2 linked regions of the Mytilus edulis genome follow. The protein of the gene in region 1 purifies or fractionates together with the protein of each later gene. This does not show direct contact. Links are inferred from orthologs where the notes say so. Each region holds a gene or a part of one and is shown on either strand. Other genes may lie near its edges. The genes, in order: signal recognition particle receptor subunit beta-like and signal recognition particle receptor subunit alpha-like.

Region 1 (17,533 bases):
CTACTAATATGTTTGTCCCGTATTCAGATAAGGATTCCATTAACATTTACCCATCACAGAAGTGAGGTCCAGGACAATTCAAGTATATCTTATGATTATCCTTTGTAATAAATTCTATTTTTTTATAAATGTGTATTTTGAATTATCTTAATTTTTTGTATGAGAATAATGTTCCTTGTTTCCCGTACGAACATATTAAATTAAAACAATTCTTAATATGACAAAAAGGAAAACATATGGCCAGGAATATCTGACAAGGATCTCAATTAAGGACTTGGTCCTAACATCCAGTTAACCTTTTTTTATAATATGGTACATAGACTCAGCTCTGTGATTCTTTTCAAAGCAGAACCAAATGCATTGTACAATGAAAGTTCCAACCATGTACTTGGGTCCGAAGCTGCACATAACTCATTACAAACAAAGATTTCTTTCGTTTTAAGCCATTTTTTCCCTACTAAACTATGTATCCTACTTACTAGTACACTTGGTACAATCAAAAACCTCAGCTGATAATAAATTGTTCAAATAAGGCCATTGAAAATAGTGGAATAAATTGCTTTTGGAGTGTCAAAATTCGTTCGAAGTACTTGATAAATTGCATGCTTATAATTGGTGCTTTTGATTTTGCTACCCTATATACCACTTTGCCTCATAGTCTTATTAAGAAAAATTCACACACCTCATTAAATGGTCATTTAGAAAAAGTCAGAATATTCAAACTCTTTTAGGTCATTTTTTTATTAGCAACAAAGGGAGCTTCAGTCAATATATATAAACAATATACCAACGTTTCATGAGAACTGCTGAAAGCATTTTTGAGTTATTTTTGAAAACTAGAAAATACCACCTTTTTCTAATGAATAAAATCCCTTAACTCAATAACATAAAATCTAAAATTAATAAAAATCGAAAGGGTGTTTACAACAATAGATATAAACATTTCAGCAAAGTTTCATGAGAACTGCTGAAAACATTTTTGTGTTAATGTCTGAAAACTGGAAAATCCCCCTTTTTAATTAATAAAACCCGTTAACTCGGAAAGGTAAAATCTAAATTTATAAAAATTGAAAGTGACCTCATGTTAATAGATATAAACAATTCACCAAAATTCCTTGCTTTGTGAAAGCATTTTTGAGATATTATCAGAAAACTGAAAAAAAACCACCAATTTTATTTAATAAAAACCCATTACCCAGAAACTTAAAATCTAAAATTTATAAAAACAAAAAGGGAGCTCACGTCAATAGATATAAACAATTTCTCAAAGTTTAATGCAAATTGGTTAAAGAGTTTTTGAGTTAATGTCCGACACGTTGACAACAGTCGGACAACAGTATACCATAAAACGTTCTGTAAACGAGCGTATAAAAAATATTATAATATATTGAGTAGTAATTTAAACTCATTCTAGATACATAAATTAATACTAAAAACATAGTCATAGAAAATGGAATGCATTACAAAGGATTATATCCGTAATAAGAAATACTGATTTTTCAAAGACCGAATTATTTTAATATTTCATTTACTGTTATCTGTTTTTGTCCATGTTAATTCCTTGTTATCTGTTATGAGGCAAATCAATTTGCTGTTTTGCTGTTATTGGGACCCCCTTGCCCCCCCTCATAGAAATTAGGATGGTGCAAACAACTATTATTACATCACAGTGGTATATTGTATACATCATAATTAAGCTAGTGTATTCAAGTTTTGTAATGCTGTCCGAATAACTGTAGACTTGTTTCTTCAATATTTTATTACTGTTTTAGGATTTCCAATCCTTTGATGATGCACTGGAAGCAGGAACGTTACAAGAATTTTTACTCCTGAAATGAGTGGATGGATGATTTTTTAAATGGTAAGCTTTTCTAAAGTAACATACGCAGAAGGCTAGTCTATAATTAGAACAATATCAGTAGCATCGTCTTAATGGAATTACTATTTACATTATATGCGATACGTCGTTCAAGACAATTTCTGTAGTTTAGTAAGAAAACAATAATGTTAACAATAGATCACAATAGGAAAAAATATAATTGAAAATCGCTTCTTTTTTAGTATATATAACTCCCTATAAAGACTGTTTATAAATGAATAAAAAGACAGTGATTTTAAAAATAACACGTGCTAGCTACTAAAATTCGTTGGTTTTTTTTCAACTTGCCGTTGATGCTTTCCCGAATTGAAAGTTAACTTGACAGGTCTTGATAATTATCTTTTTAAACATCTAATTGTTTTAAATATGTGTATGTCTCAACTATTAGGCTATTAAAATTATTCGGCATAAATCTAAAAATAAAAGTCTTCGATTTGTATGGTATTTTCATAAATGCGATCGTACAGTGTCTGAGTTCATCGTTGATAACTAATGGAAAAAGCAGCAATTATACCAATAAAGGGTGCACTTTTAATATAAAAGTTACTTTTAATAGCATTTTATTATTCAAATATAACTAATATGTTGGTACATCAATATGCACAATTTGTACAAGATATTGTTAAATCCAGATGATAACTTTCTATTTTCAGTGAATGATGCCTGTTATGTGCTAGAAGACGTATGCTGAAGAATGCAAGAACTACAAAGAAATGTTTCTACTTTTATATATAAAGTGCAATTCTATAAGAAAAAAATGCAATTCCGTGTCGTATTTGTTTTTAAAGATGTCATTTGCTTGTAGAACTGAATATGGACTTAACAATTTTGTATCGTGAAAATCTTATATCGAAATAAAATAACAGTTATTTTTTACTACCTATTTTACTTTTTTGTCTTCTCCGATAAGCTTATATAGTTCTAAATTCTGATGGTTAATGAGCAATGTAACTAAACTGTAAATGTTTGACGAAGTATAGTTTGCCGCGGATTTATTTAAGAGTTGGATCTCTTTCGACTCTCTAACAGACCTCAAATTAATGAATTTACTGATGTAATAGTTTAATCTAAGTGATAAAATTGATAATGGAAATTGGGAATGTGTCAAAGAGACAACAACCCGACCATAGAACAGACTACAGCAGATGGTCACCAATGGGTCTTCAATGTAGCAAGAAACTCTCCAGACCGGAGACGTCCTTCGGCTAGCCCCTAAACAAATATATATATACCGGTACTAGTTCAGTGATAATGGACGCCATACTAAACACCAAATTACACACAAGAAACTAAAATTAAAAATCATACAAGACTAACAAAGGTCAGAGGCTCCTAACTTGGGACAAAACACGGCTGGGTTAAACATGTTTTGTTTAGATCTCAACCCTCCCAAATTACCTCTAGCCAATGCAGAAAAGTAAAGGCATAACCATACGCACAGTAAAATTCAGTTCCAAAGAAGTCCGAGTCCGATGTCAGAAGAGGTAACAAAAGAAAATAATACATAAATAACAACAGACTACTAGTAGTTACTGACATGCCAGCTCTAGACCTCAATTAAACTGATTGAAAGATTATTTCTTCATCATATGAACATCAGGCACAATCCCTCCCGTTAGGGGTTCAGTATTATACCATCATAAAATATATAAGAAGAACATAACCCGTGTCATGCCAACAGCTGATTTGTGATAAAATTGTTTATTTTTAAATAAATGTGTTTAATTCCGATGCAAAGCCCCTATAATATATTTTATAGCAAACGGAAAAATAGATGCAAATCGTGTCAGTATCAAAGCCCTTATTCTGACTTGTAGCTTGCTTGATTGAGGATCTATCTCATTGTTGAAGGCTGCACGGTTTAAAACTCGGTGGGATGGTTATTTCATCCATCATATCAAATCCTCTTATTTTATACGTCCACATTTTTTTATTGAATCAAAAAAGACACAGGACAATTATACTTGAGTCTTATTAAAATATAGAACTCTGATTTCGTTATACTCCATATGAAGTATAACGAAATCAGAGCTCTATATATAATAATTAGACTGGACAGTATTAGTACTCCATTTAGTGTGTGTATATACAAACATGCATTACAAACCATGACGGGAAAACACAATTTACTAGAAATGCAACAACATAAGTTAAATTCAAAATCGCTTGTTTCCCTTTTTACAGTGAATAGAAATTCTTTATTGAAATATTTATTATGAAGATATGTTATGATTGTCAAGGAGACAAGTATTTAACCAAAGTCTAAATGAAGTGGATGTAAGCAATTATAGACAACCGAACGGCCTTCAACAATATGGGAAAATGCACCGTATATATTCGGCTATGAAAGGCTTTGACATAAACAATAAATATATAAACAATTTTAGTGAGAAAACTAACGGTTAATCTGTAAAAATGGGACCTTACGGGTTTAAATGTCAATGATTTTTATGGCAATGAAAAGAACTTATGCATTTAACTATCCTATATACTTGGTCCCAGATGCATCTAGTCAGACATTTCATTTAACGATATCAATATACATTTGTTGCTCAAAAGCTCAGCTTGGTCAATACAAAGCAGAGAAAAACAAGAATGTGTCCTAGTACACGGATACCGAACTCGCACTGTCATTTCATATGTTAAGTGGATTGTGACATTGGGGCCAAAACTATAATTTCGCAGTAAAATTAGAAAGATCATAATTATCATAGGGAACATGTGTACTAAGATTCAAGTTGATTGAACTTTAACTTTATCAAAAACCTAAAACTTTAATCTGAAGCGGGACAGAGGGACGGACGAACGGACGCACAGACAGAATAAAACAATAAATTGGGCATAAAAATGAAAATTGGTATAGATTGTTATCAGCAGCATGTCTACCTCTTAATTAGTCCAGAACAACCAACTCTACTTAAAGCTAGAATAATCATTCAAACAAGTTCTATAATAGTAGTCAGGGAATCTATCAAAGGGATAGACCGATAGGTTGCTGAACAACAAGTGGTCGCCTACCATATATATATATAGAGAGAGGGGGGCTAAGAGGAAACAATATTGGACGAGAATTGTGTGTTATTTACGAAGCCAATACAGCGAGGCCCTTCAAATGTTCCGAGTAAATAATGAGATAAGACAAGGTAATATTACAATATTTAGCGTAATATTTGTGTCAGGCACTACCTCATTGCTGTCTGCTTTGTCGACTGGTATTCACACAAAATGCTTTCCGATAACTTGAAGCCTATGTCTAATCCGGGAACTGCATATATTGATATATCAATATGTCATACCTTCTTATTTTCATATTAATTGAAATTAGTTATGTATATCGGATTTCTGTATTTATAATTTTATATCAATGTTAACAATAAAAAAATATCATATTTGGTTACTTGGTTTTCTAGTTTACAACCTATTGACGCTGAATGAGGTTGAGTAGACTGAATGAGAAGACATCATATGAGTGCCAATAAGACAACTCTCCATCCAGAAAAGTAAACAATTATGGGTCAAAGTATGGCCTTCAACACGGAGCATTGGCTCACACCGATCATCAGCAAGATATAAAGGGCAACAAAAGACTAGTGTAATACAATTTAAACAGGAAATTACCAACGGTCTAATATATATAAAAAAAACCGAGAAAAACAAATGAAGCACACCATCAAGCGACAACCAATGAACAAAACTGACTAATGATATTAGACTATTATAACATGACAAAAGGGATCATATCTAAAGTTTGACATTTTACAGTCTTATGTTGGATAAGGATTATTTGCTACACTGGCAACTGTTGATGCAATAGATTTATGATAATATACTACTTTAAAAACTGTGGTCATAAAGTGTCAGTTTCCTTATCCAATTGTGTGAATGGTGTTACAAATAAAGTTATAATTGGACGCATATTCCAGTTTCCTGTTTTCGGATCTTTTTAACGGATAAAAATGTTAGTTTCTTATTCAAAATAATAATTTTTGGTCATGGTCATGTAATTTTGTAAGTTTTCTATTCAATCGTGTTTGTTTATATATATCAACTATTCAAAACAAGTATGATACGGTTTTGCTATAAGAAATACAAAATGATGATTGGGGACAAGCCGATCGAATGGTAATGTGATAAAGGCCTCTTTCAATACAAGTCTTTATAATAGACTAGACAAAACATCAATTTGAGAATGTAATTGGGAAAAAAGCATACAATACTAACGAAGGCGTGCGCCAGAGGCCCCTGACTTAGAACAGGCGCAAAATGCAACAGGGTTAAACATGTTTGTTTGAGCCATCTAAAACCTCCAGCCAAATGTAGAGTAAAGAAACACATAACAACACGCACAGTAACTATTTAAACATCGTTTTAACTGAAGAAGTCCGAGTCTGATGTCAGAAAAGGTAACAAAAGAAACTTTGCAAAGTGACAATGATACATATATTAACAAAGGACTAACCAGCAGTCACTGACATGCCAGCTCCAGCTACACCTCAATTAAACAGATAGAAAAATTAGGTCTTTATCATGTGAAAATCAAGCACATTCCCTCTCGTTAGGGGTTTGGTATCATACCATCATAAAATATATGAGAAGAACATAATCCGTATCATACCAACAGCTGCTTTGTGATAAAATTTCAGTTTATTTCCTATGCAAATGTGAAACCCAATGAGTGAATCAATATTTTATACCAAAATATGTCATCCTAAATGACTTTCCAACAGTATTGTAAGTATATTCCTTATCAGGGGCGGATCCTGCCATTTAAAAACAGGGGGGGGGGGTCCCAACCCAGGACAAAGGGGGGTTTTAACTATATGTTCCCATTCAAATGCATTGATTGGCCAAAAAAAAAGGGGGGGTTCCAACCCCCGGAACCCCCTGGATCCGCCAATGCTTATGGATATACGGTATAATATATACATATCTATTTCTAGAATAAATCTGTTTCATGATAGGTTTGGTTGAGAATATGAAGTGAAATATATTAGTCTGTTTATGGTGTTAAAAAGCGTAAGCTATAACAGAGAGCAAATGAAAATAAGTGAGTCTGATCAAGGATTTGTATAGCGTCGCTTTACAAATTCTTGGTCTGATCCGTAAAGATCCTATACTCAGAAACGTTCACATATTCGGACATGTTCGGTTGTTTCCGCCTTTTTACGTCTTTTTTCGATGGAAAATCGGAATACGCTTACATTTCCGTCTTTGGTCTTAATATTATTCACACCGGAAGTTGACGTTGACTGACAACATGGGAGCCAGCATTCAGGAACAAATTTTACAGTACGCAAATATATTGACTGACAATGTCCAGAAACAGGATCCAACTACCATAGGCATCATAGTAGCAATCTTAGTTGTTTTGCTTACAATAGGTAACACATGATATTTTATTTCACCCAAGTTAATGTTGCAATCGCGTGAAGAAATGTGGCCATATGTTTTATCCAGATTTATATGCGGTGCAGGAGCTATAATTTACATTAATAATCAAGAAGAAAAATTAAAAAGACCTGTCTCTAACAAAGGATCAATCTTGCTAGCTGAACTTATAGCAATGAAAATTGTACTCGATTACACAGAATCTTTTTCAAAACAGCAAATTGATACTTTATTTTCGGACAGTCAGACCGCATAATTTAGGTATCTTAACTCTTAATTGGAAAAGTGACAGCTATCATCAAACCATTAACGAAATCAAAGGGAAGATAAAAAATTTAAATGAACATGGAATTTTAATAAACTTAAACTGGACACCAGGACATGCCAACATAAAAGGAAACGATGAGGCAGACTCCCTAGCAAAAGAAGCTGCTAAAGAAGCAGAATCACTAGCAGTTGATGACATAGTGTATACAAAACAAGATGTAAAAAAAGCAGCTAGAAATTCTGTTACAAAAAAATGGCAACGCAGATGGGAAAACAGTAATGCTGGCTGTCATTATTTCAGATTTCATCCTGAAGTTAAAAATAAAGTAAAAAAAGACTACCCGTCAAAAAAATGTACAACATAATCAACAGTTTATGAACAGGTTATTCTAAATTAAATGCATACCAATTTATAATAAACCAGCACATCAACTCGGAAACCTGTGATCACTGCAAAGAAAAAGAAAATGTACAACACTACCTTTTTGAATGTGACCTGTAATCAGATGCCAGAGACAAATTATTTCATCAAATATACTTCATAACAGGACAAATTCCAACAGATTTAGACGATTTATTAACAATCAATTTGCCAAATGCAGAAAATATCAGTCAACTATTAGCGGAGTACATAGAGGAAACAAACAGTTTAAGTGGATAATTTAATTTAATACAAATTTCTTTTAATTTTTAATATTTTTTAATTTTTCATGCCATTCCAATAACCTAATTAACCTTTTTTTTTTTCTTCAAGTGATACATTTATATAGTTCTATAATATTTTTAAAGAGCCACCTACAATATCTAAGTACAAAGGAGAAACTACATTAGTGAAATTAATTTTACAAGAGAGGGTAATTCACAAGAGAGATTACTCTGTCATCACGACAAAGATTGAAGATTGAAGATTTATATACATAATGTAGTTTACAGTGGCGGATCCTGAAATTTTCATTAGTGGGGCTCACTGACTGCCTAAGAGGGTGCCCGCTCAAGTCACACTTTATTGATTCCCTATAATATGAGGCAGGCATAATGCATGCACATTACCTGTAAATGGGGACAAACAGAAATACAGTAACCTTTCCGATTTTGGTTCTATTGTTAGGGATTTTAGTTGTGACGTTACTTATGTTATGACTCATATGCAATGTAAACAAAGAAATGCTATCATCATGTAACGTTTTTTCATATCAAGGAATAATTAAAAATGAAATTGGTTTTGCGTTCATTCCTATTTTATACTAGACTGATAAATATATATTTTACTCAAAGTTTCATACAAACCAGACCGGTAAAAGGAAGAACATTGTAGATTTTTGCGCAGATGCAGGAATTAAAAAACATGACATCAAAAAAATTGAACGATTTTGTTGTTTTTGTCGATCCTTGCAACTTAAGTCGAAAAAGCGAGACATAGCGATCCTACATTCAGTCGGCGTCGTTGTCGGCCACAAATATTCACTCTGTGGATAAAGTTTTTCGAATTTTAATAACTTTCTTATACAGTTATACTATTTTGGATTTGTACCAAACTTGTACAGAAGCTCGTTCATGATCAAAATCTAGTATCTAGAAGGAAATTTTGTTAAAATTTTGTCCTTGTGTATACATCTGTTTTTTTACTTGTAAATGGACTTACATGTAGTTTTCAGTTAAAGTTTTTTAAAACATTAATTAGATTCATAAACTATCCTGAATTTTTACCCAACTTGGACAGAAGCTTCTTACAATCGATATTTTTATTGGTTTTTTTCCTCATTTTTGTTGAGCCTGCGATTAACAGCAAAAGTAGACTAGACACTGGGTTTTGTGGAACCCTTGCAAATTTTCTTAATTACTATTCTACATTTGTGTACATATCTATTTTATAACCTACATCATAATAAATGAACTCTAATTTTGAACAAAAAATTCTCATAATTTTTTAATGATACTGTATAATTTGACTTCTGGGAACACAGGATTCAACTTCAGTTTATCATCAGTCCGATATGTCCTGTCTACATGGTCTAGTTGAAGGACAAGGAATAAAATAAGAGATTATCCTTATAGATACTTTAACCCCTTAAGTAAAAATTGAGTCATAAAATAAGTAAATAAAACTATGTGAAGTACCTTCTTCAAACAATTACATTTTGTAGTTGTTATAACAGTATTTAGCTTGGATGACGTGTACAGCCATTTTACCACATGTTTTCATTAGCCATACTAATAATACCTTCATTATTTAAGTCCATTGTTGCCAAATGCTACAAAATGCATTCAGCTGTTATTTCTGTTAAAAGGTGAAATGACGAGTATTGTCTCATTAAGGAAAAAGTCTGAGAAACCTGAAGCAAATTTAACAAGATAGCAGAATTCAAACAATTGTATTTCTTAATTTCTAATTGCCACAATTATTATTGTTTTGCAAAATGTGAAATGGCCACCATTTTAAACCCTATCCTAAGTTCTTTACTGGTTATATATGACATGTATTAGGGCTGCCAACTCAGAAAATTACTCCTCATTCAGATTTCAAAAGGAATTATTATGGATCATAACATTAACTACTGACAAATATGGCCTTGTTTATAACTCTTTACTACAGTCTCACAAGTGCACCAGCAGCCGTAAGTTTTAAGACATTGCTCAATTTCCTGGATATACATGTATGTACATATAAATTTTAATGCATTTTGAAGTGACCACTTCCTCTTAATAAAATGAAGAAAAAAAACCAGAAAAAATTAACCCCTTTAACTTTAGTTAAATGATATATTCCTTATTTTCTGGTAGATTTTTATAAAGAAATATGGTTGAGTTGATCTAGACTGTTTTTATCACTACCACAAATCACAAATTTTGTCTATATCTGTAAGATTTGAAAACAAGTTTCTTGTGACAAAAAGTCAGTATACATGTACTCAAAGATGTATTTTATGATATGAAAAAATATTAATTTGATAAAAATTGTCAATTAAAGTTGATTCAGATAAGTAAATGAGGAAACTTGTTGGGGTGTGTGTACTGCATATGTCAAGGAGGAAGGAAGTACTTGCAACCTTCATAATCGATTAATAGTCTTGTTTGCCAATTCATGTACATGTAATTGACCCGATAATCAGAGATCAATTTTTTAGTTGTCTCCCTTAGCAGGGACACATTTTCATTGAGAAAAGAGAGCTAGTAGAAAGAGCAAATTATTGTGCGCATAATGAGTGTAACCCTTAAAGTTTTTCAAATCACCGTATTAAATATAATTAAATTGATTTTTGATAAACTAAAATATTTTTATATCAGAATTTTTTTTTTCAAATTGATTAAAATTATCACTTTCAACTGATCATACTTTACGCATACTAAAACCAATTTTGTTTGGAATAGTACAGATCTAGGATGAACAAAGGAAAGCAATTTTTTTAAATGACTGTGTATAATAACAATCAAATAGGCAATTAGCAAATGAACTACAATGTATTGAAAAAGTTTACTTTCTAAGTCAGGAATAGTATCTTTAGTATGTCAATTACTGGTTTGTAGTGCTCTACCCCTTCATACCAGTAGATATACTACATGTAACTATAAAAAATAAGTAGAGATTCACTGTCTTAAGGGAGCTACCATTTGATTTTTATGGGGAAGCTAGGATGAAATTTGAAAAAAATAGGCAGGACAGGAGTTTTGAGTAAAAAAAAAGGCAGAATGTGACACTTGCAAAAAAAAAATGTCAGGACGACAATTTAGGTAAAAAAAGTCAGGATAAACTAAAAGAAAAAAGGTAGGACCGATTAGAGTGAAAAATAAAAAGGCAGGACAGAGATTACAGCTAAAAAAAATGCAGGACAAAATTTGTCATCCTAGTCCCCCCCCCCCCCCCCCATAAAAATTAAATGGTAGCTCCCTAATGTTATATCATTTTTTCCCCCAAATACTGAATGAGAACATTATTTTTTAATGCGATTTTGTATTTAAAAAACAAATTGCAACACTCCTCCAATATTAACATTTTTAGTACATGTATGCCTATTACAATGTACAGCATGGGCTTTTCATGATTTTATGTGGTTATCTTCTGCACCTTGAAATCCAGGTACAAAAAATGTATGGTTGGTATGAATTTAAAAATTTGAACAAAATCCTGAAATATTGTTAAACCTTCATGTAAAATAATTTACTTTTTATTTTCAGTACTCCTTGTCTGTAGAGGAAAATCCAATAAGAGAAGTGGTGTGTTGGTGCTGGGAATATGTGAATCAGGGAAAACTCTGTTGTATACCAGGGTAGGTACAAAACATATAAACAACACACTCAACATACAGACCTTATTGGATCCAAATCTAACCATGCATCACAAACTCTTGTGTTAGATTTATAAGTTACATATAAGTTGGTTGGATGTAAAGAATTTTTGGTCACCATTCACTACAGCTATGTAGTTATAAATACAAACATTCCTCTTGGTTTTTTTGAAACTCATTACAGCTATGTAGTTTTGAAGTTTCAACAATTTTTTGAGCGTCCTTATAGAATGCAACAAGAACTAATTTCTAAATGTCAAAAGTATTCTACTTTATTATGTGAAATTAATTAGAGAGGTGGCAAAGTGGTACATTTGTAAAGATGCTTTTATAATTGTACTAAAATGTACATATTGTGAACATTAATACATGTACATTGCAATTGTATGTCCATGTTTTACTGTGACTGTTTTTTGTTTTGTAGCTTGTTCATCAGAATTACACAGACACCTTTAGCTCAATAGCCAGTAATTCTGGAAGTTACCAAGTTCAAGGAAAGGTACTGTTGATACAAAATAGTTCTGCTTTATTTAATGACCCAATAGGTAATTAAAGGGAGGTAAACTACTGCAGATATGTGTCTTAGAGTTGCATGACCATATTGCAAGCATTTAAGAAATTCCTTTAGTGTTTGTAAAGGTCAAGTTGAAAGAAACATTAATTGTGATTTGTAAGATTTCAATGTACATGTACATACAGCACAGTCAAATTTAAAGTTTGTTATACAAAATGAGTGACTTACATGACTTAATAGCTGCTATACTTTTGTAAATATAAATTAGTTATGATTTAATATTAATACCATTAAAATGTCACAAGGGATATATATAAATTATGCATCAAACCTGTCAGAAAAATTTGTACAATGTATCAAGGATCCGGAAATTTTTTCACCTAATTTCGGTCATTTTCATACAACTTAAAAGTTGATACCCCTTTTCAAAAGATGATTGCCAAAATCACATTACTGCATGAGACTCATTATGAGTATGCTCATACTCGATCGTCATGTTCGTAGCATCAACAAACTTGTTTCACTGTTGCATCGCATTTACTTCATGATTTGTCCTACCATTTTCCAAAAATCGATCAAGGGCAATTAAGGGAAGGCAGCAGTTTAAAAATAAAATGATTTTAATGACTCAAAACGATAATATTCTCAGTTTAGCTTACGTTTCTTTCGATTCTGAAGTCAAAATTCAAACCGGATGCACTGCGACAATACTAAAACGAACAATTCCGGACTCATTTCCGGGATTAGTTTTGTTTATCCAAATCACAGGAAATCATCGGCTTTTTAATATTTTATCTTTAATAGTGTAAGAATATCAATTAAAGTAGTTGCACTGGCTTTATTTAGGATGAAATTATTTAAAATTTACGATTAATTGTCTAAATCTGTGGAAGAGAATTTCAAGCATGCGTATTACATAGTAAACAAAGCACGTGTGTTAGAAGTAAAAAAAAAAAAAATTCTACAAAATTAAACCAAGTTTTAATTTGATTTTAAATCATAATTGACAATTGTCTGACTTGTTGAGTAATTAAATATTGAAGCCAGTTGGTATGGAATTTTTATTTCTTTATAATAATAGTTTGGAGCTTGTGATTAATTGCCAGGTGTGAATTACAATGAATTAAAAACACAGGTAAAGAGATTAATTAGCAATCATTAGCCAATAGCTCCCCGAGGCATTAATATAGTTATTAGGAGGGCCCTCAGGATTATAACACTTTATTGGAGTGGCAGTTTAATTACAGGAAGTCATTAACTTAACAAAAATATGTTCAAAATGGCGATTTTGAAAGTCGATCTCAACGAAATGACCGAAATTATTAATGTAGGAAAATAAAATTTGACCTAAATCCCAATTAAAAGTTTAGGACATTATAGTTTCAGTTTAGGACATGACTGGCAAATATGACCGTTTCCGGACCCTTGCAATGTATATGATAGTGCAAAAAAGGATTTCTTCAACTCTAAATATGTAAATGATAATTAATTGAAAACATGCATGTATGCCTTTACATTTACTATACCCAACTCCAAATGAGGGTTGTATATACTGGTTACCCTCTGTCATTCTTGTCAATCCATAATGTAACACATTTTTGTTGTATTTTAAACAACAACTACAAAGTTGAGCTTGTTGATATAAGGTACCAATGTGTCATATTAATATCTTATTCTATACATTGTACTTTGAAAGGAACCATATTCAGATCCTAATTTTTGCAGTATAAATGTATTTTATTCACATGGATGAATGTTTAAGAAAAATAATTTAAAGACACTAAAAATCAGGGCTTTTTGATATTTGGTCATTTATGGTTAAAAGTTAAGTAGCTCACAGTTTATAATAAATGATGAAAAGTAGCACTGGCCACAGTATAATCTCACATATTAGTTTAGAGGAAAGAAAAGTTGAAATTTATTATAATTAAGTTCTATTAATTACTGTATTGAGTTATTTGTTTCTCGTACTGTCAGAATCAAAGCTATTGTTATAAAAACACTTGTATATCAAATTTTACCAGACATTTCACTTTTTTATTTGCAGAATAAAAGTTTAAGGATAATTGATATACCAGGTCATGAAAGATTAAGACAGACCATGCTAAACCAGTACAAAAGCTTAGCAAGGTAAAGTATAAGCCATAAGTAAACTTTTACCAGATATCATGTGACTTTTATCAGAGTTTTGATTGATGAAATTTTGTATTAAATTTTACCTTTTACAAAGAGACTGTCTACTGTTAAAACCTGTTATATTTTGATAAGTCAAATATTTGTTTTCGAATTTGAAATATCCAACAAAAGAATTTAAATATGAAAATAAGAAGATGTGGTATGCTTTCCATTGAGACAACTCTCCATCAGAGACCAAATGACATATCACTTAACAACCGAAAATAACCATAGACCTTCAACAATGAGGAAAACCTATACTTCATAATTATCTATAAAAAGCACTGAAATGACAAATATAAAACAATTCAATCAAGAAAACTAATGGCTGATTTATGTTAAAAAACAATAAATGAAAAACAAATATGATATACAGCATTAAACGATAAGTTGAACCACTGAAGTACAGGCTCCTGACTTGAAACAGACACATACAGAATGTGACAGGATTAAAAAGGTTAAGTGTGTGTCTTTGAACTGTTTGTTTATGTAGTTATGTAATATATTAAGGTTAAAAACCCAGGTTGAAAATTTTCAATTTATTCCAATGGTCAGCATATGTACAATTTTGCTTATTTGTTTCCAGGGGTATAATATTTATGATTGACAGTTCAACCTTACAGAAAGAAATTAAAGACGTTGCCGAGTAAGTTAATATTGAAAAATAAATGTTTGAAATCTGTCAGTAAAGATGAAAATAGAGTAAACACTAGTATGACAATTACTCTTTAAATCGATAGCAAAATGAAAAGGAAGAGGTAATTTTGTAACAGTAACATGCAAAAATCATTGCAAATTTAACCTTAAGGAATTTTTGTTACAGTAACCATATTGATAAAAAAAAAATTCTATTTTCACATATTTAAGATCAGAACTAGAAATTTGTTTTTCTTTTTGTCTTATTAGAAAAGTGAATAAAAAATCACTTAAAAAAATTTAAAATAATAAAAATCATATTTGTTCGACAATTTCTATTGGCATATCCTTGATCAAATAGATAACAAAATTAATTGAATGTATTATAAAATGAAGTTGTATTTGGTGAAAACTTTAAAACAACAAAGCTCTATTGAATTGAATTTTTTGTGAAATATAAAGTTGAGATTTTCTTTGATGGAACAATTGGAAGTGATCAACTGATGTCATTTATTACTACCTCAGACATGTTGTAAAAAATATTTTATATTTTATTTTTAGTTTTCTATACACAGCACTTAGTGACAGCGTTATATCATACAATATCCCACCTGTATTGATAGCATGTAATAAGCAGGACCTTTTAACGTCTAAAGGAGCTGAGGTCATTAGGTCACAATTAGAAAAGGAAATGTAAGTACCTGTGTTGCTTATGTGTTACATCTTTTAACACTGAATCACCAATAAAAAGTTTATTTGATTGATTTAAATAGGTGGGGAATTTTAATAGTCAGATAAGCTACTGGTTGAGGATTTGTCCTGAATTGAATAGCCAACTCAGTACCTGGCATATTTGTGTTGACATGACAAGTCAATGAATTTTCAATTTTTGTAAAGTTATTGTTAATTTAAGATTTGGCCATGGTCTTCTAACTGATTAAAATCAAGCACCACTGATGAGTCTAATTAAGATTAAATGCTCATCTCAGGAACCAAATTATATTGGATTCCCAATTTGTATTACTCCATGAACATGTAACAATTATTCTCCTACTAATCCCTATTTTTGCATAATTTAGCTCCCATGTGTACAAGTGCTATTTAAAAAGAAAGATTACAAAATCACAACTACTTAGATAGTCAGATGTCAGAGCAATCTCACACTTGCCAAAACCACTTACAATATCACAAACGATATAGAAGAAGTTATTTATTTGACGATCAAACAAATGATTCCTATATTTTTGATATTTTAGGAACACATTGAGAGTAACAAGGTCAGCCTCATTGCAGCAGATCGAAAGTTCGGGAAACAACAATACATTTCTTGGTAAACGTAACAAGGATTTCAGTTTTGATGATTTGAAACCAATGAAAGTTGACTTTGTAGAATGTAGCTTGAAGGGTAAAAATGCTGAAAGTAAACCAGAAATGAAGGACCTTGAAGATTGGTTGATAAAAATAGCTTAAGATTTGATTGGTTATTCAAAAATTCATGAATGCAAGTTTTGTATACCTGACAAATCAAATGTGTGTTTAAAACCAAGTTTGTTTTATAGAAGAACTGTTAAGGATATACATGTTGTGTTTGTAGTTTAAATGGATAGTGTTTGTTAAAATGTACTTAAGTACCACTTGTTAATCAATGCTCATATATTTAGCATGTTTAGAGTATTCTTAAAATATAGAGATCAATCATTATCATTTATTTTATGACAACCAAAGGCATTAAGAGTAATTGATTGAATTTTGTAGAAGTTTTCAAGTCATTCAATTTGTACAAACTTTAGTTTTTTTTAAAGACAGTCAGAATTTGTAAGGGAAGATACTCAAATTGTCAATTGTGTATATTTTGTTTGGTGCTGGAAGGAGAAATAAATTCTGAAATTGGAATGTTTTAATTTATTAGACCTATACCCCAAGTATGGACCCTAATGCATAGATCAAGGTGTGCTTTTATTATTGCAAATTCCTGACAAGCAAATTGACCAAGATTACTTAGTACAATTCTATGAATTCTAGTACCTATTTTTGTAACACAATAAGCCCAGAAAGATCGCTTGAGCTACATGTATATGGGTAACATTTAAACAACAGCATCCATTTGAAAAAAAAGGTGGTAATTGTATGCTAAAACAAATTTTTTAAGGTATTTGGTTCAAAGCTGGATGACAGCATATCATTTGTCCAAATACTCGTCACTTTCATGGAGTTTTTGTCTGAAATTAAAAATGACCATACATTTTCTGAGTAAATAAGTAATTTTGTTTTTTACCTAATTGCACAAAGAGCAAAACTGGAACAAGTTTGAATGGTCAGGAATAGAAAAGAGGATACATGTAGCAACTTGTAATCCAACTTCAAGTTTTCAAATGTCAACCATTAAAGTAG
Region 2 (17,533 bases), on another chromosome or scaffold:
TTCACAGCATTTGGATTGACACTTTTATTCTACAAACAACATCATACTGGATTGTGACCTTAGTAGTTTGGATTGACACTTTTATTCTACAAACAGCATCATACTGGATTGTGACCTTAGTAGTTTGGATTGAAACTTTTATTCTACAAACAACATCATACTGGATTGTAACCTTAGTAGTGAACGTAATATTCAGATTGGATTCTGAGAAGATTTCTTGATACAGATATTATATAAAAGATAAAAGATTGGACTCTTATTTTGACAGTTAAGTTGACAGTAATATTTGTGTAATGCTTCTTGTGAACTTTTGCATAATAAATCTTATTAAATTTTATTATTGATTTATGTCTTTTGTTGGCTACAATTTAAAGGTGATTTTCTGGCCGTAACAATATCCTTGAATGACTTCATCTTTCACAAACATGACATAATTTCGTTTCCTCAAGTATTTACATGAAAAAGAAATTCAGCACTGCTTTTTCAGAAACATAATTTCTTTATATACTGAAGTGTAAAACAGGATTTACAATACTAAAACCCTGAGTGGGATATTCAGGATGTTAATGACTGTCCAATTCACTGTCATGTGACTTGTTTGTAATATTGTTTTGTCTCCAAAAATATTTTCAAATATTTTTCAAACTTCATCAAATACAATGTACCAGTAATCACGGTAATGTATACATGGTATATAAAGCAACAAAATAAAAAACACAAAGAAAAAGAAAAAAAACAATAAAAGGATAACATTTAGCATTTGAATTAATCATATAGGAAGGCAGTAACTATTTTCTCTAGATATATTATCAGTCATTTTGGGATTTTAATAAATTAACTTTTTTTAATCATTTGATCATTTGTACGAGATTCAGAAGAAAAAAAAACTCTAAATGGTGCAAAATTGATAGACATTGTTATCTTTTTTACTTTCTTTCAATCAACCCTGTTCATAGTTTTTAAAAGTTTATGATAAATGGTTTTACCTTGAATATTTCACTTTATAAACATACATGTCCTAAATTGAATATGATGTATGTTAAAAGTGTATTATCTAGAATAAGATCATTGACAACCTTCATGAATTATAATCCCTCATGATCAACATGATCAACAATCCCTGTTTTTACTTATTATGCGTTTACCTTGCCCTGTATCAGCCCTAAGCTGATACTGAATATTTGGATCCAGAGCTAGAGCTTGTCCTCCAACTGTTTGTACATTTGCTATTGTTGCATGTTCTTCATGGTCTCCTGAAAACATATAACAATTTAATTATTAAAACAAGAGGCTGTTAGAGTGACAGCAAACCGGATTTATTCATATTTATTCGTGTCCTGGCATTTTTCAATATCACAAGAACCATAACTGATGAACGGTGAAAGTGAAAATCTTCAATATCAGACTTGACCTCCATTTTGTCATCAGTAACAACATATAAAAATTTGAAAAGCTTTGGCTGAATGGTTCATGAGTAAATGCAACAACATGACTGGTAACACAATTTTTTAATCTTTCAAGAACCATAACTCCTGAAGAGGAAAAAGTGAAAATCGCCATTATTGAACTTGACCTCAATTTTGTCATCAGAAACAACATATTTGAATTTAAAAATCTTTGGTTGAACGGTTCGTATGTAAATACATGGACACAACTGGAAACACCATTTTTCAATTTTTCAAGAACCATAACTCCTGAACGGTAAAAGTCAAAATCGTCAATATTGAACTTGACCTCCATTTTGTCATCAGTAACAACATATTAAAATTTTAAAAGCTTTGGTTGAACAGTTCAGGAGTAAACGCACTGAAAGGACTGGAAACGCCATTTTTTAATCTTTCAAGAACCATAACTCCAGAACTGTAAAAGTCAAAATCATCATTATTGAACTTGACTTCCATTTTGATGTCAGTAACAACATATTAAAATTTTAAAAGCTTTGGGTGAACGGTTCATGAGTAAATGCATGGACAACATTTGGCTGCCACCTGCCTGGCCGCCTGACTACCCAGCCGCCCACCATACATCCCTTAATCAATAACCGACATTTTTGTCACAAAAATCCTGTTAAAAAACCATAATATATATGAGAATGATATAGTATATATAAATAATCATCTGCAGTTAGAGGTGAGGGTGTAGATGGCTAAAGATAAGCCTTTATGATTCTTCCTCAACTCATCTTTTTCAGTGACTTAAAATTATTGATGCAAGATGCCTTCCCAAGTTAAAATTCAAGTGACCTTAACTTATTACTTCACATGCATGGTCCTTTTGAATAATATGATCCCTGAATTCACAGGACATATATGAACCAACACAAACATATTTCTTGAAGGTACATTGTACCTCACTAAATGTATAAATGTTAAAGGTAACAAGTATTTCTTAGACTCAAATTTTGGTAGCCCAAATAGAATGTTAATGGCCCAAACAAAATACAACAAGCTGATAATATTTGTTTTTATTTATAAGTTAAGTAAAAGTATTATCATCATATTTCTTGTGTAATTTTGCATGTGTACATGTACACATGTATGTATATAAACATAATTACCTGGGTCATGGTGTGTTAAAGTGACATCATCTGAGTTGTTGGAATCATGATTCTTTTGTTCACTGCAATAAACAAATAAAATTAGAACAATGCTGCATTTTTCTTTATTGTTGTGGTTGTATATAGGAAGCACATTGGAATGAAATACTCAGTACTTGTTAAACCATCATCATCAATGAACACAAGGGAATTATGAACAGATATATCATGTTAAGGAGGGGTATTTGCGAAAAATACCAGTCGAGAGAATGTTAAATTTCACGAGCCGTAAGGCGAGGGAAATTCATTCTCAAGACTGGTATTTTTCGCAAATACCCCTCAATAACATGATATATCTGTTTAATTACACCGAATGTTAATGTACTAAAACGCATTGATGATCGTGACGTTACAAGCGTCCAGTCGAATAGAGTATTTTTTGGCAAATACCACGGCAGAGAGGGTAAAAAAAGGCATATCCTTTTAGCAAATACCCCGGCGGCATTAAAAATGAACGATATTCATTTGATAACAGTAAATTGGTGAAAAATACACTGGCTATTAACCAATCAAAACCCCGGATTCTTACATAAGGTGTAATTACAAAAGATATGGAGAAAAACAATCCATGAATTTGCATAAAGATTATGACACAAAAGCACCAAATATTGAAAATTTCAGGTCTTACAAATATGGGGACAATCAAACATCATTAAATTGCTTGAAATACAAAATGTAACTTGATTGACCGAGTGTTGGTTGCCTAAATGTTCAGTTGGGCAAAATTTCATGAATATTTAGAAGGATGAAATTACTTGAAACTATAGCTAGCTCAAAGCTTTTCATCAGCTGATGTAAAGTCATGGCTTCTTCCAATCTAATATATATATCAACATTAATTTGCGTTGTATAATTCGAAAGTCATACATGTACAGCTACATGTATTTAAAACAGACTAATTGAAAAAAAAAAACAGATTCTAATTAAGACTCATACCACAATTTTGATACATGTATGGATGGAAATTGGAAAGAGGAATATTCAATGAACTGTAAATGGTGCAACTACAATTACGCACAAAGGGAGATAACTCTAATTTTAAATGGAAGTTTTAGAGTTTAAAAAATATTTGGCCTAACATTTTTTTTAGACTCAAATTTTGGTAGCCCAAATAGATTTTAATGACTACAACAAAATACAAGATTTTATTAATTTTATTTATAAGTTAAGTGAAAGTATTATCCTCTGTGGGAGGGTTCTGATTCAAAAAAGAGAATTATACCTATACCTGTACAGAACAAAACAGAACAATGACCAAGTTAACAATGACATCACACATATGTTTGTACTAGATTCATGCACCATGCAAAACTAATGTAATGTTCTGGACAAGTTTGGTTTATAAACAATGTGCACTCACATCACATCTTCCTATATATCTATGTAGATTATTTTGCACTTTATATTAGGCCAACATTAAAAATATCTTTGTTTCCCTTCCCCGACTGAGGTTATCAGGGTAGGGGTAGGTAGGTAGGCAAATTATTTTATTTTATTTCTTGATATAATTTTTCTATATTGAATTTTTACAAAAATCAACAGGTAAGATAAGTCAAGAAAAGTGGGATATATATTCCCTGTATTCAGTGTACACCCAAGTTTTCTGGTGTTAAAAACAGTATACAGGGACCTCCTTTTTCCTATTCATTTTATGGTATGAAATCTACAAAAGCACACATTCTTCATGTGATAACAATGTTTAATGAAAGCAAGTGTTTAATAAGTTAAAAATCAAGCTTATTTCAAGTCTAACATGTCTAATTTGATGCATAACTCACAACAAAACAATTCCTGTGTTCACCAATTCATACCTTGATCATCAATTATGAGATGACAAAAAGATATGTTAATGACTTGGGAATTAAAATTTAATGAATAAAAATTTTCAATAGAAGTGAACATAATTCAGTTATGTTCAGTTACACATGCATGGATAACACCCCAAGGGTGACTGGGGTATAGAAATATGGTCACTTGGTCTTCTCCCGACCGGCAGTAAAACGCTAGCCGAAGTGGGGCGTCCGTTTGGATGTGCGGGATTTATCAAGTTCGCAGTCACGTCCGGTCAGAAGGGGGATGTTAAATCTGATGCCTCGTGTAAAGAGAGTGCCACGCTCTTTGCACGTTAAGAACCCTTGCAACAACTCTTTGAGGGGTCCGTAGGTGGCCTGTTGCAAGGCAAAATTTCTGTCCCTATCCAATATACCCACAATTTCCAGTGGCAGTCCAAATTCCCCCGACCATCATCCCAGATGGCCTCTATCGTATTCACCTACCTATTGTATTATTTGTGAACTTGTTCTCGTCCTGAATATGCATGAAATATTTGCCACTGGACGTTAAGCAACCAACAATCAATCAATCAATCAATCAACATGCATGGATCATGCAGCTTGGTCAATTAATTCCTAAACAAAGATTTGTATGTTTTTTCGAGTTCTAGAAAAAACAAGGCTTCACTTATTCATGTTTTGTTGTTCCTAGAATACTTTTGAGTATTTACAAATTCAACTTGTGTAAGTTATAACGTAAAACGTGCCCTTTTGTAAATTTCATGCCAAAAAATGGAAAATAAAAACACATTTTAACTGGTCTTGTTTACACCAGAAATCAAGGAGGTTCCCTGAAAGCAGGGAAATCATGTATCCAACATTTTCTGACTTGTGCCCAACCTGGTCGAAGTCGAAGACAAAGTACTACTAAGTAGATTGATTTCAAAGCACAATTCAGACCATTTTTACTCAAAGATTTTATCCTTTAAACAGGAAAAGAGGTAAAAGACAAAGCCAATCAAGGTGCACTCAGTGGGTTGAAAGATGCTTAAGATTTTATTTTCAAATATCACCCTTGCACACAACCATGACAACACAAATCGTGTGGCAAGGCATTATGTTTGTTTTCCTCGATTCCGAATCATATTGACGCTTCAATGCAAAAATGCCTTGATTTAAAACGCTTGTTGACTACAGCATCGGAAAGGTATGACCAAAAAACCAATGCACGTTTACTACAGCATCAGAAAGATATCACCAAAAACCAACATAGCAACAACAAAAAATATGTACAAGAATGGCCAATAAAAATTTTCGAGTCACTGCGATTTTACTGGGTCAGTTGGGGGAGGGGAAACAAACAATATTTTATTTTTGGCCTTAATATCAGAGTATTTATTTCATCAATAAGGATGTTCAGAATACTGTGCTCACTGCACTGTTTTGACTTTTGTGTATCTTGAAAAAACAAAATGTAGACAAAATCAGGAAAATTGAAAACTATCAAGGCAATCACATATTGGTTTTGGATTTTTTTATACTCCCAAAAAGTGTGGAAATCACTTTAATATCAATTCACAAAGTGTACAATATTCAATGCAAGGTACAACTTACACAAACATACATGTATGTAAGATATCAAAATATTTAGATAATTCTTAACATCTGCTTTCATTGTATAACACCTTTTGTAGGACTTTATTTAGAAATTTTTGATTTCTGAAGAGCAAAAATTCCCTTTAAACAATAATGTCCATTTATTAGTCTACTGTACATGTTCTATTACAAATTAATAGAAAATGGGGATTTTGTGGTTAATCCAGACAGCAGCCCGTTTTATAGATTTTCATATAATCAATGTTCTTTTTCCTTATACTTGTATTCTCTATACACAGTCAGGGGACTTACTGATGTAAGTGATTTTTAAATCACTTATTTGAGTAGCAAATTTGAAGTTTTGTCTCAAATTTTGATTTTGTAATTTTAACAAAATTTCAAACACATAGGTTTAAATAATATCTTTTCATTAGTAAAATTGAAAAAAAATGTATTTTTTGCTTCTTTTAAGTAGCAAGGTTTATGCCTTTAATGCTATCATTTAGCTGCAAATTCTATTTTAGTTGAAAAAATGCTGTAATAATGGCTTTACATAATGAACTGATACTTTCTTGTCAGATTTTTCCCAGCAGTGGTAGTATTTTTCCTGTAAAGTTCAAGGTTTCATCTTTCAGATTATGTAATAAAATTCTACTGTTCACGATAAAATTATTTCACTGTTCGAGGGTGTTGAAATTAGTGGGGGTTATTAAAATAATGATACTTAAAGAAGTGATTTTTGGGAAGGAAATTGAGGTATGATACTTAAACAAGTGATTTTTATGTCATTATCCTAGATTCAGTACAAGGTCATCACCTGAAATGACCTGGTCATCCTGGACAACACAGATGTTGGTTCTGATAAGTTTAGAAACATAATTAGTCCCTGGATCATTAGTATTCTATATTTAAAGCTACAGTAAAATTAAATCACTTCTAGTGATTATTTTGTACTACTTAAATAGGTGATTATTGAAGAAAGACAACTCTTAATTCCAACCTAAATGAAAATAATGCTACTTGAATCAGTGAATTAGAAAATCACTCATTTAAGTAAAGTCCCCTGACTGATACATGTATGCCCCTTGTGGTCTCTTAATTGGAAATAAAATATATCTTATCTTATTCAACATTTTATTAAGCATATTGGTTATATTGATTGATTGATTGTTCGTTGCTTAACGTCCAGTGGCAAATATTTCATGCATATTCAGGACGAGAACAATATATTGGTTATATATTACTCGCTTGTTAGTACCATAACATGTTAGCAAAATGGTTGTTAAGAGTGTATTACAAATGTATTTACAAAAGTTCTAGCCAACCAGTGCCACATACATGTAGTTGTATGCTAAGTACCAAATTGTCCAATAATAGCTAGAGTAAAATGGGAAAGGCTGTTTATTTTTTTTTTAATAAAATTTTATGAAATTTATATTTTGTATTGAAACAACAAACTGAATTCATAATCTTAAAATTTGATATCTTACCTTTTCATATTAACTAATCATTACATAAGCAATGAATATAGTCATTGATAGTACAAAAGGAATAACAATTTGAGAGTAAGTGTTTTATAAATAATATATGAATGTCATGCATGTCATGATGAATCAGAATGTTGGAAAATTTTCATTTTTTTTTTTATAGATTTAAAATATAATTGACTCACAGGTTTATAGGGTAAAACACTTTAATCTTTATTCTACATTAATACAAGGTCAGTTAACAAGGATGCACAATATTGTAAGGGAAAATTTAGCCGGTTCAGATGGTTGAAGAAGAAAAAAAATAAAAAAAAGGATACATGTCAACTCGTACTTTCGGCAACTCGTACTCAGCCAACTCGTACTTTCGGCAACTCGTACTTCTACCAACTCGTACTTCTACTAAGTCGTACCCAATATTTTTTTAGCATTATAATATAAGTTTTCTACGTTTATATCAGTAGATATGGATATTTTAACTCCCTGAAGTATCCCAGTGCACCCTGAGGTAGATCCATAGAATATGAAAAGGATATTTTTTACTGAACATTGCGTTGAACATGTCTTAGTTTTTTCGTGTTAGTAGAAAATATTTTTAACATTATAATGCTTCATATTTTATTATTCACCTACTGATTTATCTACTGATAGGATTTGTATCTGAAAAAAAATCCTCAAGTGTCAAGGTGTGCTCGATCCTTAGAATATTTGAAGAGATTTTTTACTGAATATTGCGATAAACACGTTGTTTGTTGATGTGTTAACACTTTGTTTTTGTTTTTTTTTTTTAAATAAGTATGGCAGTCAGTTCGTTTTCCGTTTGAATTGTTTTACTGGTCATTATAGCTGACTATGAGGTATGGGTGGGTTTTGCTCATGGCTGAAGGCTGTACGATTACCTATAGTTGTTCATTTCTGTGTCATTTTGGTCTCTAGTGAAGAGTTGTCTCATAAGCAATCAGACGAGATCTTCAAAAAAAAAGGACTTTGTGGCAAATAAATCAAGATTTTTATAGAAAATCCACAGCCTTTAAACACAAACCTTAATACACAAATTATTTATTGCAGTTCGCGTGCCGGTGATTAATTGATTGATGATTGCTTCACACCTGAAGTATGTCGATTACCAGTTAATCGGCCCTTAGTCACACACGAAGCGTGCCATTAATTATTTAACCGTTATCAAAACAACTTCACACCTGATCTAATCTTTCTGCATGTACGTATTTTAAAATGTATATTTCATCACAATACTACTATCATTTATATACGTATTGACCTCAATTATGATAAAAGTTAAAATAAAAATTAAGCCAATATTTAGAAGAATTACGAGAGGCGTATTAAAAAAAACCACTAGTATCACTATTATTTACACACACATTGTAAGACATTTTTACAAGGCTTTGTTGCTATTAATAATAGTAATAAGGGTCCTACAAATACAGCTTTTTGAAATATATACTCTTATTGGCCCCAAACATGGACCAAATAACAGGATTAGTGGAAAATATTATTGAGATACACAATTTATATATCGTCTTGCATACATTACAACGTGGACGAACCATGATTGCAATTGAAGATGATCATACATTTCACCATAGTTTATATATTTTTTCTCTAAGCTTGGTTTTTACAACGTTTAAGCCATGCATTTTCTTTTCGGTGAGGATGGTGATTGTTTAAGTATAACTCAACGGCCTTTGATGATCATAGTGCCGCACTTATACCGATTTTTTGTTTTCATTTACTTCTCTCTGTTTATTCTACTTTTAACAAATCCATTCTATTTTTGTAGGTATGTTATCCACTAATGACCACTGATTAGCATATGTGTACTCATAATTATTTTAATGTGCATATCAAATAAATTGCCGTGCAAACAATTTCAAACAATCAATTCTAAGGAATACTAATGATTATAACGATTAGCATTTTATAAGCTTATTTAAAACAATTATGATTGAGTTTTATTAACAATGAAAGTTGTTTTTTTATTTGTATTTTGCTATATAATGATATACGAAAGAAAGTTACAATAACTATGCATAACTTGATAAATAATATCAAATAAAACATGGTTACGAGTTGGCAAAAATAGGGTACGAGTTGGTTGAGTACGACTTGCCGAAAGTACGAGTTGTCGTGTACCCTAAAAAAAAAGTTACAACTGCACTTAATAATCAGTCAATTGCTTTACCGATCTTTATTTTCAATTTAACTTTAATATATAATTTTAAATGCAAAATTTAGACAGAAGTACACAAAATTTTTACTTCAGTGTCGCATTACAAAATTGTCATGCAAGCAATCATTGGTCTTTTTCGTGCACTTTAGTTGAAATTCCGAATAATTGAACCGACCTTGCTTCCAGTGCTTGATCTAGCATATCCATGTGACTTTTTGACGATCGTTTGAATTTGCCAGGAATATAGCAAAAGTTGATCACGGGGCCAAACAACAGGTCATGTGAGATGCGAATTGAACATGTGACAAAAATGGCCGTTCTTGCTGAAAAAGTGTGCGGAGAAATACGTCTAAGAGTGCTTTATTCACCGTAGGTAAATTGCTTTTAGTTTTCTTTATTGTTATGAATTAAGTTTCTAAATTGCTAATTTATGTTAAAACAAAGGTGATATATTTATAATTTACATCAATGACAAAATTACAAAGACTTATATTTTACAACTTTTTTTTATCGCGCAGTCTTATTGAGAAAACAGATTCGGGAATTCCCGATGATTTTCGATAGTTATCGGCAAAGTTCCATTTCCGGCGGTCGTTGAGACACATTTTTGAGACACTTTCAAGATGTTAGACTTTTTTACGATATTCAGTAAAGGTGGGATTGTTCTTTGGTGCTTTCAGGGAACATCTCAACTGTTTACACCAGCAGTTAACTCTCTAATTAAGACTGTAATACTTCAGGTGAGAAAAATACAGAAAAAGTAACGTAGTAAATACTACACGTGACGTGACGTGGGATGTAAACATATGGAAAATTTCAAATAATTGCATTTCTGTTAAACTATAATTCTTGGTTGTATTTGTTAATACCTTATATGTTACTCACCTGTCATATGGCTTGACCATTTTGAAAATTTATTAGATAATCGTATAAGTTATAGGTGGTGATAATATTACTTGTCTTATGTCTTCATACTTTATACATTTTATAGTTTTAACATACTTTATTTATATACATTTGTCAGTGTTCCAGCTAGGCCGTTTTCAGAGGGCGCGGCGCCCGCCCTTTTCCGAGTGGCGCCCTGTGCCCTTTTTACAGTTTCCAGGGCGCTCTGCCTTTTTTGAAGATCGATTGCATATTAATTTGCGTATTGATATGATACGCTAATTACTAAATTTTACCTGGGGAAAAGATTATGACTTTGTTTACCACCCCAAGCTAATCAATGATTACAACTGGTGTCATAATCTGTTGTTATAGGTAATCCGTTTATCGGATGGGTCATTAATGATCATCAACATTAATTCGTTCAAATAGAAAGTTCAGTCGGCAATTATCTTTGAAGAAATGTGCATACAACAACTTGGGCACAATTTGCGATGTTTACCGTAGTTTCATGGAAGAAACGTAATGACAAAAAGTTGGAAAACCATTATAAACTCGTTGAAGACATTGTTTTACTTGTTTTCTGTAAAATAAACAGAAAATTCAGACGTATTTGTCATTGACTGCCTTCATTTTTGATACGAAAATAACAAAATCCGCCTCCATATTGTGATCATATTTACATCATATTTACGTACTGTTTATAATCCTCCAAAGAAGGAGCACACCCGAATAAAGAAAGATAACTCAATCTGATTTTTTTCCTAGCATTGAGTAACCCATTTACATATTCTAAAATGTGTCTCCATACTTCTTGCTTAAGAATATATATGTTTAGGTATTTATTTTGAGTTATGGGAAAAGTTAAAGAGGGTCTTAGTAGCAGTGTTGGTAGGGTGCCTTGGTCATCTTTTTCTGTATTCTTTATTTTTGATACTATTTTTCACTGTTGCTTTATATCCTAAAATTGTGAATTTACTGAGCATTGAATTTACTGAGCACAGCTGTTTTGTGCTGTATTGCCATCAAGCACAGCAGGGGTAGAAAGGTGAAACTGGTAAAATGTGGTAGACCATAGAAACAGTATGAAACAGATCTCCTTTCAAAACATACTGCATATAAAGTTCAACTGTGCCAAGCAATGATAAAAAAACTTGTGTGACAAGCTGCTTGACAACTTTTTCAGCCTTAAAAGTAGAAAGATAGAGTTCTATATGGGCTAAAGATGTTGTTCTTGTATAACCTGTGATTCAACGAATAAACACAAATGTTTGATTAACATCTTTTATTAAAATATGCCCTTTTCATATTATCATATCGCGCGTTAAATGCCCTTTTTCAGGATTGGCACCCTGCCCTTTTGAAAACCTAGCTGGAACACTGTTTGTACTATAGAGTGCTGGAGGTCAAGGGTTCCCTGTGTCCTAGCATTCCCTTTGTGTTGGGTGGGAATTGAATGTCCCTGTAAAAAATTGTCGTAAATGTTAATGACACATCTCCGTTAATCTGGATAGGGAGTGTACATTGTACATGTTCCACTATACCGTCACAGCTTTTAAAGGGTTCTTCTGATAACAAGAAATTTATCTAGTATATACATGTATATACATACATACTACAGTTGATTGGGAAACAAGTTATTACAACTTATATAAATCACTTTCCACTTTACTTCATACTTGGTGATTTTACGTAGATTCTGTAACTTAAAACCTCAATCAATTTTTATTTACCATCCACACTCAATTTTCATTAATTTTCTTTGTGAGCAGGAACACATACATTTATATATATATTGACATGGACCTATTAACACTACCTAATTATAGCTGATTTTACTGTCCGGTTATAGTTAATAAATTGCACGATGTGGAAATGGACATGTTAAACCTATCTAATAGTTTCTGATATTAATGCTATCTTTAAATGTCATTTAAACTAAGTAGTGAGTGATGCCAGTGTATCAAACTTGTAATTTGTCACTTTTTTAGCTCAAAAGGGCCAAGTGAGCTTTTCCCATCACTTTGCGTCCGTCGTTAACTTTTACAAAAATCTTCTCCTCTGAAACTACTTTGCCAAATGAAACCAAACTGGGCCACAATCATCATTGGGGTATCTAGTTTAATAAATATGTATGGTGACCCAGTCAACCAACCAAGATGGCCGCCATGGCTAACAATAGAACATGGGGGTAAAATGCAGTTTTTGGCTTTCCACTCAAAAACAAAAGCTTTTAGAGCAAATCTGACAGGGTAAAATTGTTTATCAGGTCATGATCTATCTGCCCTGAAATTTTCAGATGAATCGGACAACCCGTTGTTGGGTTGCTGCCCCTGAATTGGTAATTTTAAGGAAATTTTGCTTTTTTTGGTTATTATCTTGAATATTATTATAGATAGAGATAAACTGTAAACATCAATAATGTTCAGCAATGTAAGATTCACAAATAAGTCAACATGACGGAAATGGTCAATTGACCCCTAAGGAGTTATTGTCAATTTTTAACAATTTTCATAAAATTTGTAAATTTTAACTAACATTTTCCACTGAAACTACTGGGCCAAGTTCATTTTAGATAGAGATAATTGTAAGCAGCAAGAATGTTCAGTAAAGTAAGATGTACAAACACATCACCATCACCAAAACGCAATTTTGTCATGAATCCATCTACTTCCTTTGTTTTATATTCACATAGACCAAGGTGAGCGACACAGGCTGTTTAGAGCCTCTAGTATTTTTTTAAATATCGTTAATTTCATCACATAACTTTATTAAGGGTATAGAACGCAAATGAAGTAATTGAAAAATAGCACCAATGACATTCCGTATTTCACATACCATAATAACAGGGTTACGCCTCACATCAAATAAATCACTCTTTAAATCGGATCATATTTGGTCATTTTTATCATAGGTCGCGAAATCTTTTTTCCCTTTGTGGTCCTTGAAGAAAATCTGCAGGTCCTCACTTTTAATTCTATTGAAAAATACTAAAATTGTGTCAGTCCTATGTCAAAATTTGGTGGTAAAATCCTGAGGACCACCACTTTACGCGAACTCCGTTTTATATGACAAAAATTTCTACCTTATGATAAAACTTGTATTTCATGTATTTATATAAATGTTTGGAACTACGTGGATAATTTTATTTATTGAGCAGGTCTGATAGTTTTTCAGTCAGACACCATCAAAATCCACAAATCTTGTGAAGTCTTGTCAAGATTGATGTTTTTATCAATTTTATACTGAAGATATGCTGTTCCAGGCTATGAGTGAATATTAAACCCCCATTGAACAAAACATTTTGATAAACAAGGTGAATTCGACCCTGACCATACTTTTCATTAATTTGCCCACTTAACATGCTTAACACCAAAACTTTATTACTTATCCCACTAATCATGCTAATGAAAAGGCATTACATCCGGCTGAACTTTGGTCTGTCAACTAGTCCCATTAATCAAAAAACATTAATTCCCATTAAGTTCAATCCCACTAATTAGATAAAGGTCTAGACAAAAAAAATTGTGTCTGTTTACTATGGATCCTAAACAGGCTGATTTCAATAATTATGTCTCCCGTTTATTTTACAATTACTGAAAAAAGTTTGATTCTATTTTCAGGAAAGAACTGGGAATAATACATATACACATGAAGCTTTACAGTTGAAGTATAAGCTTGATAATGAATTTGAATTGGTTTTTGTGGTAAGTTTTATTATTATCAATTATAAAATGAGATGTAAGTAATTCAAGTATAAGTCAATGAGACAAAAAAATATATATACATGTACATGTAGGTTAATAACATATCAAATCAAAAGACAAGTGTCTAGATACGTTGTATAAGAAGATGTATTATATATAAGTGCCAATAAAACAACTCTCCATCCAAGTCACAATTTGTAAAAAGAAAACCATTGCAGGTCAAAATACAGCCTTCAACACGGAACCTTGGCTCACACTAAAATGAAAGCTATAAAGGCCCCAAATCATGCAAATATTACTAGTATAAAACCATTCAAACAGGAAAACCAACTGTTTAATCTGTATAAAAAACAAGAAGCCAGAAACACTGTATAAAAAACAAGAAGCCAGAAACACTTATGACAATGTATGAACCACATCAACAAACTACAACCACTGAACAATAGGTTCCTGACTTCAGACTGTACAGTTTAAATACTGAATTGCCCAGAATCTAGAAAACTTGTGCATAATTTCAAGGTCTAAATAAGACCTGCTCATGGTGGTATAACATCTGCCATCAATGACAAATCCTTAAACGACATGCAAGACATTAAGATAACCATAAGACAATCAACCATATGGTTCCTGACTTAGGATATGAAGTGGGATAGTTGATTGTAGTAAAATTACTTTTCTTAGCACTCAACCTTTGTATTTTAATCTGTATAAGAGGAATAAGGTAAAATACAAGAAAAACAAACAATAACAAACTAGATTAGTAACAAACAGGATTACTAGTACTTTGTCTATGAAACAGGAGCCTAAAGAATATCAAAGTGAGACAAAACATAACACAAATAATAGGCAAAAAATGGATTGTCAAACAATAGACATACAATGCACAAAATGTCTAACCAGCGACCACAAACATTGACAAAATCAAATGTACAACTGTCTCTATCATCTGGAATCTTTATAACAAATAATGAATGAAGAGACATCCCCAAGTGTTTATGAGAAACTGTATGAATTTACAGCTGTTGTCCTAATGCTAGCTAGTTTTAAATGCTCGGTTAGCTTGTTAGCTTTATTTGTATTAAAGCTTGTCCAAGCATTGAAATTACATGTAAAATTGATATCTGCAAACAATATAAGTAGGTTGAGTTACACTAATATATATGTCCAATCAAATTTAAATATAATGTAAACAAGTTTAACTCCACATTTTTATACTGTTTTCAGAAGTCAATCTTTTAAATTTCAAAGCTTGAGCAAGTATTGATACAAACAAAACAATGAAGCATACCCAACCTTTAACTTTCTAGCATTATGATAACAGCTGTAATGTTTAAATGTCTTCTACAGGAGTGTTGTATTGAACAATTTTATGATTAAATATTTAAATATTTTAAATGTTGTGCATTCATCTGTGTTATATTTTATAATTTAGGTGGCTTATCAAAAGATATTACAGCTGTCTTACATAGATAAGTTCTTGACAGACATACAGATGGAATTCAGAAATAAGTACAAGGATTGTCTTACTGATGGTTTAGCGTGTGGCACCTTTAATTTTAAGGGATCATTTGATGAGATTTTGAGATTTAACGAAGAAGAGAGCAGAGCCATCGCCAAGTCTCAGAAGTAAGTTTTAAAAAATGAATCTGGATATTTATAGCAGATAACTGAACATTCATTAGGCCAAGATCCTGCTTTATAGAAATTTTGTCTGTCAGACTAGTCTGCCCTTAAAGGAGGGTAATTTACCTAGCCTAATAATGACTTCACAGTTCAGCTAGCAAGCAAATTAACCAAAGATATTACTTTTACCTACACACACATTGCATTCTGCTGTAACCTGATTTCTAACTTAGGAACATATGATGAACAAGAGATCCAACACTTACAGTCAATGATGACTTCTCTATCTGATGTTCTTTTAATATATGGAGATGATTGCTAATGAGACAACTCTCCACCAGAGACCAATTAAAAGAAGTTGTAAGCACGAAAATTATCAGTTAAAATGTCAGGTCTACTTACAACAGGAATACACTATTACTGAACTACATATATCTGTCATTTTATGATTTAAATCATGTACAATGTATTTGCAAATTTTGAAAAAATTAGATTCAATTATATTCATGGGTACCAACTTTTATGGATGGAGTAATAGAGTTTTTTTTTATATGACCGCAAAAATTAAAAATATTTTGGTCGTATATTCATGATATTGGTATCACGTTGGCATCGTTGTCTGCGTCTTTGGCGTCCGAATACTTTTAGTTTTTGCATTCTAACTTTGGTAAAAGTGAATAGAAATCTATGAAATTTTAACACAAGGTTTATGACCACAAAGGGAAGGTTTGGGATTGATTTTGGGAGTTTTGGTCCCAACATTTTAGAAATTAGGGGCCAAAAAGGGCCCAAATAAGCATGTTCGTGGTTTTTGCACAATGACTTTAGTATAAGTGAATAGAAATCAATGAAATTTAAACACAAGGTTTATGACCATAAAAGGAAGGTTGGGATTGATTTTTTGGGAGTTTTAGTCCGAACAGTTTAGGAATAAGGGGCCCAAAGGGTCCAAAATTAAACTTTGTTTGATTTCATCAAAAATTGAATAATTGGGGTTCTTTGATATGCCGAATCTAACTGTGTATGTAGATTCTTAATTTTTGGTCCCGTTTTCAAATTGGTCTACATTAAGGTCCAAAGGGTCCAAAATTAAACTTAGTTTGATTTTAATAAAAATTGAATCCTTGGGGTTCTTTGATATGCTGAATCTAAAAATGTACTAAGATTTTTGATTATGTGCCCAGTTTTCAAGTTGGTCCAAATCAGGATCCAAAATTATCATAAAGTATTGTGGAATAGCAAGAAATTTTTAATTGCACAGTATTCAGCAATAGCAAGAAATCTTCAATTGCACAGTATGGTGCAATAGCAAGAAATTTTCAATTGCACAGTATTGCGCAATAGCAAGAAATATCTAATTGCACAATATTGCGCAATAGCAAGAAATTTTCAATTGGAGTTATCTTTCTTTGTCCAGAATAGTAGTTGAATCAACTTAAATCATTGTTTTATACAATATACAATGTATATTCTCTTTTACTACCAACTGATAAATTAAAACAATCTTTACCATTCAGTGATAACCAGCACTTTTTTTACATTTTAATATTTTATGATGTATTTAAATGAGTGGCTATTGTTGCAAACTCCATAAGAAATTTGAATTGAGATCAGTTTTGGAATAAGGGAAACGGGGATGTGAAAAAAAAATTTGGGGTTCAATTTTTCTCATTTCA

The links.
Region 2: the proteins of signal recognition particle receptor subunit beta-like (region 1) and signal recognition particle receptor subunit alpha-like purify together in Homo sapiens (affinity purification with mass spectrometry; 6 studies listed by BioGRID and IntAct, counting the BioPlex papers as one, with this or other methods). This does not show direct contact. The link is inferred for Mytilus edulis from reciprocal best matches to the Homo sapiens genes SRPRB and SRPRA.

The regions. Positions count from the first base shown.
Region 1 is NC_092356.1:41,358,800-41,376,332, forward strand, and holds signal recognition particle receptor subunit beta-like, read left to right. Parts: upstream 1-7,091; 5' UTR 7,092-7,136; coding exon 7,137-7,260; intron 7,261-11,707; coding exon 11,708-11,799; intron 11,800-12,241; coding exon 12,242-12,316; intron 12,317-14,378; coding exon 14,379-14,461; intron 14,462-15,092; coding exon 15,093-15,152; intron 15,153-15,703; coding exon 15,704-15,835; intron 15,836-16,398; coding exon 16,399-16,612; 3' UTR 16,613-17,035; downstream 17,036-17,533. Other genes in the region: SH3 domain-binding glutamic acid-rich-like protein 3, read left to right, coding at 1,773-1,838. UniProt on the Homo sapiens protein: Component of the signal recognition particle (SRP) complex receptor (SR). Ensures, in conjunction with the SRP complex, the correct targeting of the nascent secretory proteins to the endoplasmic reticulum membrane system.
Region 2 is NC_092348.1:29,414,222-29,431,754, reverse strand, and holds the start of signal recognition particle receptor subunit alpha-like, read left to right. Parts: upstream 1-10,196; 5' UTR 10,197-10,265; coding exon 10,266-10,382; intron 10,383-14,150; coding exon 14,151-14,234; intron 14,235-15,666; coding exon 15,667-15,860; intron 15,861-17,533. Other genes in the region: upstream stimulatory factor 1-like, read right to left, coding at 1,146-1,253, 2,558-2,619, 9,818-9,849. UniProt on the Homo sapiens protein: Component of the signal recognition particle (SRP) complex receptor (SR). Ensures, in conjunction with the SRP complex, the correct targeting of the nascent secretory proteins to the endoplasmic reticulum membrane system.